2 linked regions of the Lonchura striata genome follow. The protein of the gene in region 1 interacts with the protein of each later gene in a biochemical or structural test. Links are inferred from orthologs where the notes say so. Each region holds a gene or a part of one and is shown on either strand. Other genes may lie near its edges.

Evidence for each region.
Region 2: the proteins of STAT2 (region 1) and IFNAR1 form a complex in vitro, tested with the Homo sapiens proteins (2 studies listed by BioGRID). The link is inferred for Lonchura striata from reciprocal best matches to the Homo sapiens genes STAT2 and IFNAR1.

The regions. Positions count from the first base shown.
Region 1 is NC_134629.1:5,609,455-5,617,124, forward strand, and holds the start of STAT2 (signal transducer and activator of transcription 2), read right to left. Parts: upstream 3,004-7,670; 5' UTR 2,969-3,003; intron 2,628-2,968; 5' UTR 2,027-2,627; intron 1,923-2,026; 5' UTR 1,922-1,922; coding exon 1,791-1,921; intron 1,684-1,790; coding exon 1,533-1,683; intron 1,457-1,532; coding exon 1,358-1,456; intron 1,271-1,357; coding exon 1,178-1,270; intron 1,097-1,177; coding exon 1,018-1,096; intron 926-1,017; coding exon 840-925; intron 762-839; coding exon 613-761; intron 538-612; coding exon 379-537; intron 1-378. Other genes in the region: APOF (apolipoprotein F), read right to left, coding at 4,305-5,186; protein timeless homolog, read right to left, coding at 5,785-5,906, 6,043-6,143, 6,261-6,300, 6,379-6,517, 6,904-7,022, 7,093-7,161, 7,232-7,394, 7,498-7,646. UniProt on the Homo sapiens protein: Signal transducer and activator of transcription that mediates signaling by type I interferons (IFN-alpha and IFN-beta).
Region 2 is NC_134604.1:116,560,145-116,567,014, forward strand, and holds the start of IFNAR1 (interferon alpha/beta receptor 1), read right to left. Parts: upstream 3,008-6,870; 5' UTR 2,967-3,007; coding exon 2,717-2,966; intron 1-2,716. UniProt on the Homo sapiens protein: Together with IFNAR2, forms the heterodimeric receptor for type I interferons (including interferons alpha, beta, epsilon, omega and kappa).

The DNA.
Region 1 (7,670 bases):
ACCTCTCGAATCATCCAGAGCTGGAAGGGACCCATCAGGATCAAAGTCCAGCCCAGCACAGGACACCACAAACTTTCCCCCAAAATCCCTGAGAGCACTGCCCCGACCCCCCCGACCTCCTGAATTACACCCAGAGCTGCGAGGGACCCACCAGAACCCTTGACCCCAGCTCCAGGCCCTACACAGACACCCCAAAAATCCCACCCTGTGCCTGGGAGCGTTGTCCAAACTCTCCCGGAGCTCTGACAACCTCGGGACCGTCACCACTCCCTGGAGAGCTTCCCCAGCGCTCAACCACCCTGGTGGGGAGGATTTTTCCCTGATCTCCACCCCCAGAACCCTCCTGGCAGCGCCGCAGCCGCTCAGAGCCCAGCTCACCTCCTGAGCAGGTGCGTGAGCTGCTCCTGCAGCCGCTGCTGCAGCAGGGGCGTCTCTGTCACCAGCGGGTCCCTGGCGTAGGTCACCTTCTGCCGCAGGTCGCCCAGCGCCCGCAGCAGCTGCCGCAGCTGGAACAGCCCCTGGCCCAGCTCCGTGAACCTGCGGGGGTCAGGGAGCTCGGAGGGGTCCGGCTGCAGCCCCCCACCCCGAGCCCCCCGAGCCCCCCAACCCTACCAGGTCTCCAGCGGGCGCAGGTTGGTGTCGCCGGGGCCCCCCATGCACTGGCGCTGCTGCCGCGCCCGCCAGTCCCCCAGCTCCTGCTGCAGCAGCTCCTGCAGCGTCTCGCTGCGCCTCAGGAGCTGCTGCATCTGAGCCAGCACCTCCTGGGGGGAGACGTGGCTCTCAGCGGGGTGCACGGTGCCCCCCCAAAACCCAGCCTGGCCGCCCCGAGCCCCCCTCACCTTGCGCTGCTGGTCCAGGTTCTTCAGTTTGTCCTCGAGGGATTTCAGCTCCTGCATGTACTCGGGGTCCCCGTTCCTCTCCCCATCTGCGGGCAGGGGAGAGGGCTCAGGGTTTTGGGGGGCTCGGAGGGGGCGCAGGGCAGTGCCCACCCCCCAATCTCCCCAGCGTGGGGCTCACCTGGCTGGTAGTGCACCTTGAAGCAGAAGTCAAAGGCATCCTGCAAATCCTCCAGGTGCCTGAAGGCTCGTTCGGCTTCCTGCGGACACAGGGGGGTCAGGAGGGGCCGGGCAGCCCCCGGGGGGCTCGGCGGGGGTCGCGGGGGGTGGCGGGGGGTTACCTGCAGGGCCCTGTGGAAGTCGCCCAAGCGCTGCTGGATCTGCTGCTCCCGGCCGTTCTCCGGGGCTGGGGTGGGCGCGGGGGCCGAACCCCCCTAGGCAGGGAGACACGGGGTGTGGGGCAGCGGCCGCGGGACCCCCGGCGCCTGTGGGGTGAGGCGGGGGACCCTGCCCTGCCCTACCTGCCCCCCCGCCTGCCCCAGGCGCAGGATCCGCCGCTCCTCCTGCAGCAGGTTGGCCACCAGGTTGGCGAACGTCTCCGGCTTCTCCTCGAACTCGGCCTGCGGAGGGGCTTGGGGGGGTCAGCGCGGCGCGGAGACCCCTCCCCACCGCGCCCCCCCCGGCCCTGGAGCCCACCTGGAGGTCGCGGTGGGCTTTGCGCAGGTTGTGCTTCAGCATGAAATCCTCGCGGTCCGAGCCCAGGCTGCCCAGGCGCTCTCCCAGTAGCACCAGTAAGGAGTGGAACAGCATGCGGGCGTGCGAGCAGAGCGGCTCGGCCGCCTGGCGCCTGCGGCAGCGCGGGCTCAGCACGGGCTCAGCACGGGCTCAGCACGGGCACGGCCCCGCCCGTGCCCCCCGGAGCCGCCCCCAGCCCCGGATCCCCCCCCCCGGTACCAGTTCTGGCTCTCGATCCAGGCGGCCAAGGACTGCCGCACGGCCATGGGCAGCGCCGAGCCCGCGTACAGCTGGTGCACCTGCTCCAGGTAGGTGTTGGCCAAGCTCTGCACCTCCTGCCACTGCGCCATGCTGCGGGGACAGCGGCTCAGCGGCGCCCCGGGCCGTGCCCCGGCCGCGCCGGGACCGGAGGAACACCCGCGGGCGCCAGGTGGGCACCGCTGCACCCCACGTACCTGCCTGCAGCACAGGACCGGGGTCCCTCTGCTCCTGCTCGGTCCTGGGGTCCCTCTGCTCAGTCCTGGGTGGTCCTGGGGGTCCCTCTGCTCAGTCCTGGGTGGTCCCGGGGGTCCCTCTGCTCCTGCTCGGTCCCTGGGGTCCCTCTGCTCAGTCCTGGGTGGTCCCGGGGGTCCCTCTGTCGGGTTCTGGGTGGTCCCGAGGGTCCCTGTGCTCGGGTTCTGGGTGGTCCGAGGATCCCTCTGCTCCTGCTCGGTCCTGGCTGCTCCCAGGGGTCCCTCAGCTCCTGCTCGGTCCCTGGGGTCCCTCTGCTCAGTCCTGGGTGGTCCCGGGGGTCCCTCAGCTCCTGCTCGGTCCTGGCTGATCCCTAGGGTCACTCTGCTCGGGTCCTGGGTGGTTCCGAGGGTCCCTGTGCTCGGTTCTGGGTGGTTCCGAGGGTCCCTCTGCTCAGGTTCTGGGTGGTTCCGAGGGTCCCTGTGCTCGGTTCTGGGTGGTTCCGAGGGTCCCTCTGCTCGGGTTCTGGGTGGTCCCGAGGGTCCCCCTGCCCCGCCGCAGCCCCGGCAGCTCCCGCTGGGGTGGCCGCGGACCGGCAGCCGCGTCCTGCGGTGGGAGCAGGGGCTGAGCCGAGGGGGGCTCCCCACCCGGGGCGGGGGGCACAGAACGCCCACAGCAGGGCCCCCAGCCCCCCTTCTGCACCACCCCAGGCCCCTCCTCAGAGACCCCCTAGACCGGACCCCCATGGGACCCCTCGGGCGCCCCCCGGGTCCCCCCCAGTGGGATGGGTGTCCCTGACCGCCCCCCGCCCCAGCGCGACAGCCTTCCAGGGGACGCTCTGTGTGCCCCAGCCGGGGTCCCCGGCCTGTGCCCCCCTTCCCCGGGCTCTCCCGGGCTCCAGAACCGCCCGTGTCCCGCCCCGGAGTGCCCCGGGACCCCCGACCCACCTCCGCCGGCACCGGAGCAGGAAGGCGGGCTGGCCACGCCCCCTGCCAGCTCTGCTCGCTGATTGGCGGAGAGCGGCGCCGAGGCCCCGCCCCCGCGCGCGGCGCCTCTGGGCCCGTTTGTTCATTTCCCCAAATTTACGTCACGCGGGGCGGGGCGTAGTGGGCGGGGCTAGTGGATGGGTGTGACCAATGGGCGGGCTCAGTGGGCGGGGCCAGCGGGGAGCGGGGGCGGGAACGGCGGCGGCGCGGGATGGGCGGGGGGACCGGGACAGGGACGGGGGGACCGGGATGGGCGGGGGGACCGGGACAGGGACGGGGGGGACCGGGACAGGGACGGGGGGACCGGGATGGGCGGGGGGACCGGGACAGGGACGGGGGGACCGGGATGGGCGGGGGGACCGGGACAGGGACGGGGGGGACCGGGACAGGGACTGGGGGGACCGGGACAGGGACACCGGGGACCGGGACAGGGACTGGGGGGGACCGGGACAGGGACGGGGGGGACCGGGACAGGGACGGGGGCGACCGGGACAGGGACACCGGGGACCGGGACAGGGACTGGGGGGGACCGGGACAGGGACGGGGGGGACCGGGGGACCGGGACAGGGACGGAGGGGACTGGGATGGGCGGGGGGACCGGGACAGGGACGGGGGGGACCAGGACAGGGACGGGGGGACCGGGACAGGACACAGGGGACCGGGACAGGGAGAGGGACGGAGGGGACCGGGATGGGCGGGGGGACCGGGACAGGGACGGGGGGGACAGGGACAGGGACTGAGGGGACCGGGACAGGGACGGAGGGGACCGGAACAGGACACAGGGGACCGGGACAGGGAGGGAGGGGACCGGGATGGGCGGGGGGACCGGGACAGGGACACAGGGGACCGGGACAGGGACACAGGGGACCGGGGGACAGGCTGCAAGGACAGGGACGGAGCTATAGGAACAGGTTATAGGAACAGGGATAGAGCCCTGGGGAAGGGAGAGGCCAAGATGACAGGGACAGAGCCCTGGGGACAGAGCCCTGGGGACAGAGCCCTGGGGACAGGGGGAGGCCAAGATAACAGGGACCGAGCCCTGTGGACAGGGAGAGGCTGGAGGGAGAGAGGGAACGAGCCCTGGGGACAGGGACCAGGCAGTGTGGCCACGGGGACTGAGTGGCTGTGGGGCTTTAGGGACAGGCACGGAGCCACCGAGGGACACAGGGACAGGCCCAGCCCAGCTGCCACCACGTGCCCGAGGTCCGGCTGCCCCAGGCCAGGGTGACCCCGCATCGATCCGTCCCCAGCCGCCCCAAACAGCGACCCGGCGCCGGCTGCCACACGTGGCCTTTATTCAGACGATGACCACGGCGCCGCTGTGGGCAGTGGGCACCGGCGCGGGCTCCCCGGCCGAGGTGAAGTACCCGACGAGCGCCCGCACGCCGGCCTTGAGCCCCGGCTGCAGCCCCAGCTGCACCCCCAAGGCCACGGGACCCCCCAGACCCCCGGTGAGCGCGGCCAGCCCGGCGTAGCCCAGCTCCTCGGCGGCCTGCAGCGCCCGCGTGGACGCCACGGCCTCGCAGCCCTGGAAGGCGAAGTAGACGCTGGTGCCCAGGTTGTAGAAGACGCTGACTCCCGGCACCCAGTCCAGCACCCGGTGGGCTTCGCGCTCCCCCGCCGGGCTGCAGGCGTCCTCGTCCTCCCGCCGCCGCCGCGCGGCACCGCGGCACGGCCGGACCCCCGCCAGCTCCCGGCCGGCCTGGCCCAAGCGTGGCGTGGGCTCCGTGCCGGGCGCGGGGCTGCGGGCTTGGGTGGGATCCACGCAGGCGGAGCCCCCCGGCCGTGCCAGGCTGAGCAGCAGCAGCGCCAGCGGCCGCGGCGCCCGGGCGCCCGGTACCCGCGCCAGCCCCCGCAGCAGCGCCGCGGCCGCGGGGGTCCCCAGCTCCCGAGCCAGCTCCAGCGCCTCGGCCTCGGCCTGGGGGGCACAGCCGGCCCCGCGCAGCGCCAGCGCCAGGGCGGCACGGGCCAGGCCGCGGGGCAGCGGCGGCAGCCGCGAGAAGCCGGGCAGGGCGTCGGGGAGAAGGGTCTGGCACGGCACCCCCGGTGCCCGCGGCGCGACGGGCTCCGCCGGCGCCGGCAGCGCCCGCTGACCGGCAGCCGGCCCAGGGGTGATGATGGACACGGCCGTGGCACGGCTGAGGATGAGGAGCGGGAGGAAGAGCAGAACGCGGGCCATGGTGGCGGCTCTGGGTCTGTGGAGGTGGGAGAAGGACAAAGCCCCGTCAGAGCCCCGCGGGCGCAGCCCCCCGTGGCTCCCCCGTGCCCCGGCTCACCCGCTCGCCGCTGTCCCTGCCCCGTCCGGCCGCTGCGGCCGCGCCGGCCCCGTGACCGCTTTATAGCCGCTGTTATCCGGGAGTTGCGACACGTCCGGCGCGGGGACAGGGACCCGGCGCTCCCTGAGCCCAGCGCGGCTCGAGCCCCCAGCCCCCCTGCAGACCCGCACACACCCAAGGAGGACAAAAGTCACTTTTATTTATTTAGGCCCTGTCCAGATTTAAAAAGTTTTAGGAAGGAGAAAAACCCCAACAGCTGAGGAAAAAGAGGAAACTTGGGGTAAAACAGGGAGATGGTGACACCAGGGGAAGTGGGGGAAGGTGGAGAAACTGGTTGCTTGTGCAGCCTTTAAAAACAGCATCAAAACCTGCAGAAGAAAATCTGCAGAAACCCCAGAAAACCTGTAGAAACCCTAGAAAAACTGCAGAAATCCAACAAAATCTGCAAAAAGCCCAGAAAACAGCACAAGGCCTGGGCACCGGCAGGGTATGGGAAGCCACTCAATCCTCTTCCTCCTCCTCTTCCAAGCAGCGGATGCGCTTCCGCCTCCCCCGGGGCTGTGGATCCTCTTCCTCCTCCTCATCCTCCTCGGAGCGGGGAGCTGGTGGGGCCAGCTCGGTGCCTGTGGATGGATGGAGAGGGGAGAGGGCTGAGCCCCCCAGGGGTGTGGTAAAGGGGACAAGGACAGCAGAACCCCGACCCAGCAGACACCTAGAGGACCCTCAGCCCTCAGAAGCAAGCAGAGGGGCTGAACCCACCTGAGCTCCCACCACCATCCTCATCCTCGTCCTCGCTGGCGAGCTCCCGGCGCCTCTTGGTGCGCGGCTGCACTGGGCTGGGGACGGGGACGGGCTCCTCGCTGCAGAGGGTGGCACCGCTCAGCCCCACATGCGGGGGGCCAAATCCCCTCCCCAGGCAGGGAGAAGACCCCCCCAAACCAGGACCCCACAAACGGAGAAGGGAAGTCGGCTCTCACCTCTCCGAGTCTGATCCCAGCCCCGCCGGTAGCGGCTCTGCTGAGGGGCACAAGGAGGGGGGCTCAGAGCCAGCCCCACACCTGGGGGTCCCACACCCCCCCCAGCCCCACCCCTCACCTGGAGCCGGGTCCTGGGGGCAGCTGGGCGGCTCTGACGGGTCCGGGGGGGACCCCGAGGGGCCCCGGTGGGCGATGGAGGCGGCTGCACGCCGGAGCTGCTGCGGGGTGAGGGCGGCCGGGATGCGCCAGAAGGATTCCTGGGCAGAGAGGGGGGACATGGCAGGGCTGTGCTGGGAGCCAGGGGATGGGGACAGGGATGGGGACAGGGATGGGGACAGGGATGGGTGGAGACAGGGATGGATGGGGATGGGGACAGGGATGGGGACAGGAATGGATGGGGATGGGGACAGGGATGGATGGGGATGGGGATGGGGACAGGGAAGGAGACAGGAATGAATGGGGATGGGGACAGGGATGAATGGGGACAGGGATGAATGGGGACGGGGATGGGGACAAGGATGGATGGGGACATGGATGGATGGGGACGAGGATGGGGACAGGGATGGACGGGGACAGGGATGGATGGGGACAGGGATGGATGGGGACAGGGACGGATAGGGACAGGGACGGGTGGGCACCTCACCTGCTCGCTGGCGGGGGGCCGCAGCCCCAGCTGCCGCAGCAGGGCCCGGAAGCGCCGGTCCTCCATGGCATCCTCGTTCTCCTCCGTCAGCGGCACCAGCGGCACCGGGTGGGACACGCCTGGGCCGGGAGCGCCGTCAGCGGGACCCCGACCCCGTAGAACCCCCCGGCCGCCCCCCGCCCCGCTCACCGTCCTCCTGGCGGTCCCCCGCCGCCCGCCGCAGGCTGTTCTGCAGCCACCGCAGGGGCCCGGCCAGCCCTGGGGACAGCAGGAGGTGACACAGGGTCCGGCCCCACGGCCCAGCCCAGCTCGGGGCTCCCTCGCCCACCTTCCCGATGCAGGCGCTGTGCCAGGTCCTGCCCAGCCCCTTCCTGGGGCACCTCCACGTGGCCTTCCTCTGCTTCATCCTCATCCTCCTCCTCCTCCTCCTCGCTGTCCTCATCCTCTCCTGAGCTGTCTTGGGCTGGCACGGCTGGCATGCCTGCGTCAGCCTGTGGGAGCCAGCAGTGTTTGGGTGCCCCCAGGGTGGGACAGCACCCCCAGGGTGGGACAGCACCCCCAGGGCACAGCCCAGCAGCCTCCAGCCCCCCGTACCTGCCCGACACTGGGGCCCTGGCTCTTCCTCCGGCGTCTCTTGTACAGCTCCTTGCGTTCAGCCACCAGCCCCAGCCCCAGCAGCTTCTCCACCACGCGAGCCCGCGAGCGCCGCGCCGTCAGGTGCTTCATGATGTTCCCCAGGACGTCTGTGGGGAGGAGGGTTAGGGTGG
Region 2 (6,870 bases), on another chromosome or scaffold:
TTCTGACAGAGTAAGACAAACCCAGAGAATGCCAAAGGATGTTTGCTTGGAAAATAAGAAAACAAAGGAAAAACCAGATTTTTTTTTCCCAGATATTTATCCAACAGATGGCTACAATTCAGCCAAAACCCTTGTGACAACAAGGGCCCCACAGACTCCAACTGATAAAAACACGAATAAATTCCAATTATTAGAGTATTTGTGTTTGATTTGGGTAGAAATTTAAATATTTAGTGTATCTTTCCTGTCTTTTCAAATCCTTAATTGATAGAGCATGAGGCTTTCCAGTACTCCTGGTTAGACCTCAGCGGGTCAGATGGGAAAAAGGAGGAGTGGAAGCAGGAAGAAGATCCTGTCCAGATCCGTGTTCTGAGCAGAGATCTAAAATCTCTGATTTTTAAAGATCTTTAAGATTTTCTGTGTTTTAAGCCAGGCCAGTGTTTTGTACAGCTGGGAAATAGCCCAGGAAGGTCATTTCCAACACAACTCCCCACCAAGAGAAAGCTGAATGGCAGCAGCAATTCTTGAAGTTTTCCTTTTAAGCCAAATTTCCAGCTTCCTGAGGGAATTTTATTGTTCTCTTCTGTATCCCTTCCAAACGGTTCAACTTGCTTGAAGCAGTGAAACAAAAAATCACAATGAACTGGATGAGGCTACTTAATGGAGGCCTAATTTATATGAGACATGACCTAATCTTTTCCTTCTAATTAGCACTGCTGTGCCCTGATACTTTTGGGGTTTCTAAAAACACCCAACAAAACAATGTCATGTAATTTATGTGTAGAATTTTTTTTTTTTTTTTTTTCAGGTCTGATATTTTAACCCTCCTGTCTTTGCCCTGCACATTCTCCTGCTCAATATCACTGCACTTGTTTCCTGGAATACTGATGCAGTTTCTCAGGATACTTCTGGATGTTCCACCCTACACACAGGAATAGGTGATTCAGCCATCCACCCTTTCACATATTTCCCTATTTCCAATGAGTTTTGTGCTTGCCTCCCTAAATTAATTCCACAAATCATCCATTTCCCAATGAACAGCTATGCAGGAAGGAAGGAGCAAACTCAGCGACGTTTAATCAGCAGAGAAACTTTGTGATTTATGTAGTAATTTGATATGCAAAGAAAAACCTAAAAAACAACACTTCTTCCTGGCTTATTTTATTAATGATTAAAAGCCAAACATTTAAAACTAATTCCTGTTTGTCCACTTGAGCATGATGATACTTTGGTTCTGAGAAACCATTATAAGGCATTAGGTTTCTGCAGAAAGAAAAGATTAAAAACCAGAAATGCTTTTAGCACATCTGCCTATTTCCTTCCCCTACCAAATTCCAATAAATTAAACCAACCCAACCTGTTCTAATACAGAAAAATTACTGCTTCACTCGGGAGATGTTCAGCAATGTTATCAGTAAACAATGGTTGAAAATAATAATGATTATGTAATAAAATCTATTCAGCAACAGAAGAAAGCAAGAAATGGCAACACAGCAAACCCTGCTGTTGGGGGAAATCCCACGAAGAGCATATGATGCTCGATGCTTACGACATCCCTGGGTGCAGAAGCCAGTGGAAAATTTCAGCCAATATTTCAGTAGAAGGAGGAAGAGGAGGCCCCTTACATGTGACACCAGAAAAAGCTCTGAACGACTTTGATATGCAAAGAAAACCCAGAGCCAGAGCTTTACCCTGGAGCAGCAGCACAGGGAAAAGGAGAGGCCACTGAAGCAGAGCTATTGGAATTCCAGAGTTAGGATCACCCACTGGTTGGGATCTCAGAGCCCACCCAGTCCCAGGCTGCTCCAGCCCCAGTGTCCAACCTGGCCCTGGGCACTGCCAGGGATCCATGGGCGGCCCCAGCTGCTCTGGGAATTCCATCGCAGCCCCTCCCAGCCTGCCAGGGAACAATTCCCAATTCCCCATATCCCAGCCAGCCCTGCCCTCTGGCAGTGTAAAACCATTGTCCCTGGTGCTGTCACTCCCTGCCTGTATAAACAGTCTCTCTGCCCTCCCTTGTGATGCTCCACAACCCTTCCTCTTCCAGTAACAGATTTTGGGCAATAGTTGCTTTTTGCTGTGTAAGGAAAAAAGATAAGGCACAAGCTCGTGCCCTGCGAGCCAAAACCCCCATCCTGCCATTCTACCTATCATGTCGTCATTTATCCTTTAGACTCTGCCAGACTGACTTCCAAGCCAAAGAACGGGAATCCAAAGCTGTTTTTCCCACGCCGCGGCTGCAGCCGCTGCAATTCACCGGGAATGGGTGGGACGGGCTGGGGGAGAGGGACAATCCACAGGGACACGGGGGACAGACCCAGGGAATGGCTCCCACTGCCAGAGGGCAGGGCTGGGTGGGAGATTGGGAATTGGGAATTGTTCCCTGGCAGGGTGGGCAGGGCTGGGATGGAATTCCCAGATTCCCCTGGATCCCTGGCAGTGCTCAAGGCCAGGCTGGACACTGGGGCTGGAGCAGCCTGGCACAGTGGGAGGTGTCCCCATGGCAGGGGTGGCACTGGGTGGGATTTGGGGTTCCTCCAGCCCAAACCCCGCTGTGATTCCACGGCAGCCCTGCAAACACCACAGCACATCCTCACCGACACCGTTATCCCAGCCCGCATCCCCGCGGAGCTCCGGGAGCGCAGCGGGCCCGCTCCCCGCTCTCCCGGGGAGGGAGCCCCGCTCCGCCCCGCTCCCTGAGCGCTCCCGGACCCACCTGCGCAGGGCAGCGGGACCAGGAGCAGCGGCAGCGCGGCCGCCAGCCAGAGCGCGCCCGGCTCCCGCAGCCGCTCCGCCGTCCTTCTGCCCCTCGGCCCCTCCGTGCGTCCATCCCTGGGCTCCTCCGGCTCCTCCGTGCGTCCATCCCCGGGCTCCTCCGGCTCCTCCGTGCGTCCATCCCCGGGCTCCTCCGGCTCCTCCGGCCATCCCTGCCCGGGCTCCGCCGCCCCAGCCCCCGGCTCCGCCATCCCGGGCAGCGCTGCCGGAAGCGGCGGCGGCGGCGCCTGCGCGGAGCGGCCCGGGCGCTCTGAGGGGCGGTCGGGGCGGCGTGAGGGCGGTGTGGGGGCTGTGAGGGCGGTGTGGGGGCGGTGTGGGGGCTGTGAGGGCGGTGTGAGGGCTGTGTCGGAGCTGTGAGGGCGATCAGGGCTGCGTGAGGGCGGTGTCGGAGCTGTGTGAGGGCGATCAGGGCGGTGTGAGGGCGATGTGAGGGCTGTGTCGGGGCTGTGTGAGGGCGGTGTCGGGGCTGTGTGAGGGCGATCAGGGCGGTGTGAGGGCGATGTGAGGGCTGTGTCGGAGATGTGTGAGGGCGGTGTCGGGGCTGTGTGAGGGCGATCAGGGCGGTGTGAGGGCGGTGTCGGGGCTGTGTGAAGGCGGTCAGGGCTGTGTGAGGGGATGTCGGGGCTGCGTGAGGGCGGTCTGAGGGCGGTGAGGGCTGCGTCGGAGCTGTGGGGGCGGTCAGGGCGGTGTGAGGGCTATGTGAGGGGGTGGTGTCAGAACTCTGTGAGGGCGGCCAGGGCGATGTGAAGGTTCTGAGGGCGGTATCGGAGCTGTATGAGGGCGGTGTGAGGCGGTGTCGGGGCTGCGTGAGGGCGCAGTGAGGGCTCTGTGGGGGCGGTCAGGGCGGTGTGAGGGCGGTCAGGGCTGCATGAGGGCGATGTGAGGGTTCTGAGGGCGGTGTGAGGCGGTGTCGGAGCTGTATGAGGGGCAGCGTGAGGGCGGTGTCAGAGCTCTGTGAGGGCAGTCAGGGCTGGGTGAGGGCGATGTGAAGGTTCTGAGGGCGGTGTCGGAGCTGTCTGGGGCCGGTGTGAGGGCGGTCACGGCTGTGTGGGGCCGGTGTCGGGGCTGTGTGGAGGCAGCCGGAGCTCTGCCGGAGCGGTGTGAGGGCGGTATCGGAGCGGTGTGAGGGTTGTGTCGGAGCTGTGTGAGGGCTGTGAGGGCGGTCGGGGCTGTGTGGAGGCAGCCGGAGCTGTGCCGGGGCTGTGCCGCCGTTCCCTAAGGCGATGTCGGGACCCTCCCGGAGCTCGCGGTGCCGCCCCAGCCCCCGGCCGGTGTCACGCAGGGACAGCGCAGCCCCAGCCGGGGCACACCCGGCACGGGCCAGCCAGGGCCACGGGGCTGCTGCAGGGCCGGAGCCCCTCTGCAGCCAGGCTGGGAGAGCTGGGAATGTTCAACCTGGAGAGGAGAAACTCCAGGGAGAGCTCAGAGCCCTGCCAGGGCCTGGAGGGGCTCCAGGAGAGCTGCAGAGGGACTGGGGACAAGGATGGAGGGACAGGAGCCAGGGAATGGCTCCCACTGCCAGAGGGCAGGGCTGGGTGGGAGATTGGGAATTGGGAATTGTTCCCTGGCAGGGTGGGCAGGGCTGGGATGGAATTCCCAGATTCCCCTGGATCCCTGGCAGTGCCCAAGGCCAGGCTGGACACTGAGACAGTGGGAGGTGTCCCTGCCATGGCAGGGGTGGCACTGGGTGGGATTTGAGGTCCCTCCCAATCCAAACCATTCCCCGATTCTCTGATTGTCTGGGGAGGGAGAACTCTCTCTTTCGCTGCAGTTTGTCCATTTCTGAAATGTTCCATTGAATGCTGCAGTGTGCATTAAATGCAGTGTGTTACAGCCCCTGAACTGGGGCTTGGGTTCAGCTCCCTTTTGCCAGCCACAAGTTCTGATGACAAGATTAAAAGATTAAAGAGCTCCTCTTCTCTTTTTTTTTTTTTTCCATGGCCTGCCCAGCTGCAGGCCTGGGGAGGTAAAGTCAGGTGTTCACCTTTCACTTCCCACCCCCTCAAGCACAGACTCCTCTGTGGGCAGACCAATGTTTTCCGAGAGGAGGATTTGAAACTCTGGGGCACAAAGGTCTGTGGCCTCAACATCCTGACTGTTAACCAGGACAGGCTTTGCTTCTCAGGGAGAGTACAGACTGGCTTTTGGATAAAAATGTTCCTGGCTGCTGCTGCCTCTTGTGTCATGGGGTGCTGCACATACTCTGAGCACTCCTGCTGATCTCAGGTCCCAGAATCCCGGAATCCCAGGATGGCTGAGGTTGGGAGGTGGCACCAAAGTGGCCACTTGGTGCCACCTCCCTGCTCCAGCAGGGCCATCCCAGAGCACAGGGCACAGGGCTGTGTCCAGGTGGCTCTGGAATATCCCAGGGAGGAGCCTCCAGCCCCTCTCTGGGCTCTGTTCCAGCTCAGTCCCTGCCCAGGGCAGGAGTTGTGCCTCCTGTGCAGGGAATTGCTGGGCTCAGCCCCTGCCCGTGGCTCTGGGGCCATTGCTGGGCCTGGAGCAGAGCCTGGATGCTGGGAAGATGAAATGAGAAAGCCTTATAAATATGATTGCTTAGCGAAGGATTTGGAAAATACAGAGACTGTGAGTGAAACTGAGATGAGAACAAGCTTTGAGATTTCGGACCTTGGTTGCTAAGCAGCTGGTGACCAGCGGTGTAGCTGGTAGAAGGTAACTCCCTTTTTTGACCCACAGACAGATGCAAGGGACAGATAAAGTGTTCTGTCTCATCCCTCAGAAATGCATAGTCCCTCCCGCACCTGTAACCCTCCCCTCAAGTGTCAGGTACCCGTAATCCCGTTGTTCCCAAGTTGAATTCTGCACCCCCTCTGAAACCCCCTCGGTGAGGCGTCCTGGGAGACCGGGGCCCTCTGCCCCCTTGGGCCCTGTCGTGGAGCTCCCTCTCGCTGGCTCATCCTGCCCCCACCCCTCGGGGCTGCTCCGGGCTGGGCCCCGCAATGAACCGTGTGCCCGGAGACCTGACTGCACATCTGTCCCCTCTGTCCGTCCCGAACGGCCAGGACCAGCCCTCGCCACACCTGGGACAGACAGGGACACACAGGGACACACAGGGACAGACAGCCAGGGACAGACAGGGACACACAGGGACACACAGGGACAGACAGCCAGGGACACACAGGGACACACAGGGACAGACAGCCAGGGACACACAGGGACACACAGGGACAGACAGCCAGGGACAGACAGGGACAGCCAGGGACAGGCAGACAGGGACACACAGGGACAGACAGACAGGGACAGCCAGGGACAGACAGACAGACAGGGACAGCCAGGGATAGCCAGGGACAGACAGGGACAGCCAGGGACATGCAGGGCTCAGGTCCCTCTCCCTGGGGCTCTCTCCAGGCTGAGCAGCCCCAGCTCCCTCAGCCTCTCCTGGGCACAGCACAGGGATGCTCCAGGCCCCCGGGGCTGCAGAGCACGGAGGGATCAATGCTTGGCTCCAGGGGATTGCTGAGCCCGGAGGGATCAATGCTTGGCCCCCGGGGCTGCTGAGCCCGGAGGGATCAATGCTTGGCCCCCGGGGCTGCTGAGCCCGGAGGGATCAATGCTTGGGCCCCAGGGCTGCTGAGCACGGAGGGATCAATGCTTGGGCCCCGGGGCTGCAGAGCACGGAGGGATCAATGCTTGGCCCCAGCAGCGTGTGGGGGCATTGCCCAGCGTGTTGCAGGGCACTGCTGAGCCTGAGCCAGACTCGACCTGTGGGCGTTGTGACCTCCTGCCCCACAGCTGATAAGGAAACACGATTGTGGCATTTCTTGGTGTAACCACACCTCAGGGTAACCATTTTGAACTGAAACTGCTGAACCAGTCTGGCACTGCTAGAAACATTTCATAACCTAGGAAATATTTGCAGTTTATCTCCTGCTGAGTTTGAATGCAACTTCCTCACCGATGTGGTAGAAGAAAGGAGCAGAAGCTGGCCATAGGAGAGCAGTGCTATCTGCAGAGCACAGGCAGCCAGGGGAGGATGGTGTGTGTCCCTGTGGCCATTGATGTGTGTCCCAAGCCGCTCCTGTGGTGGAGGAAACGAGGCCTGCTGGAGTTTGAGCTCTGCTGGGTTTGTTTCTG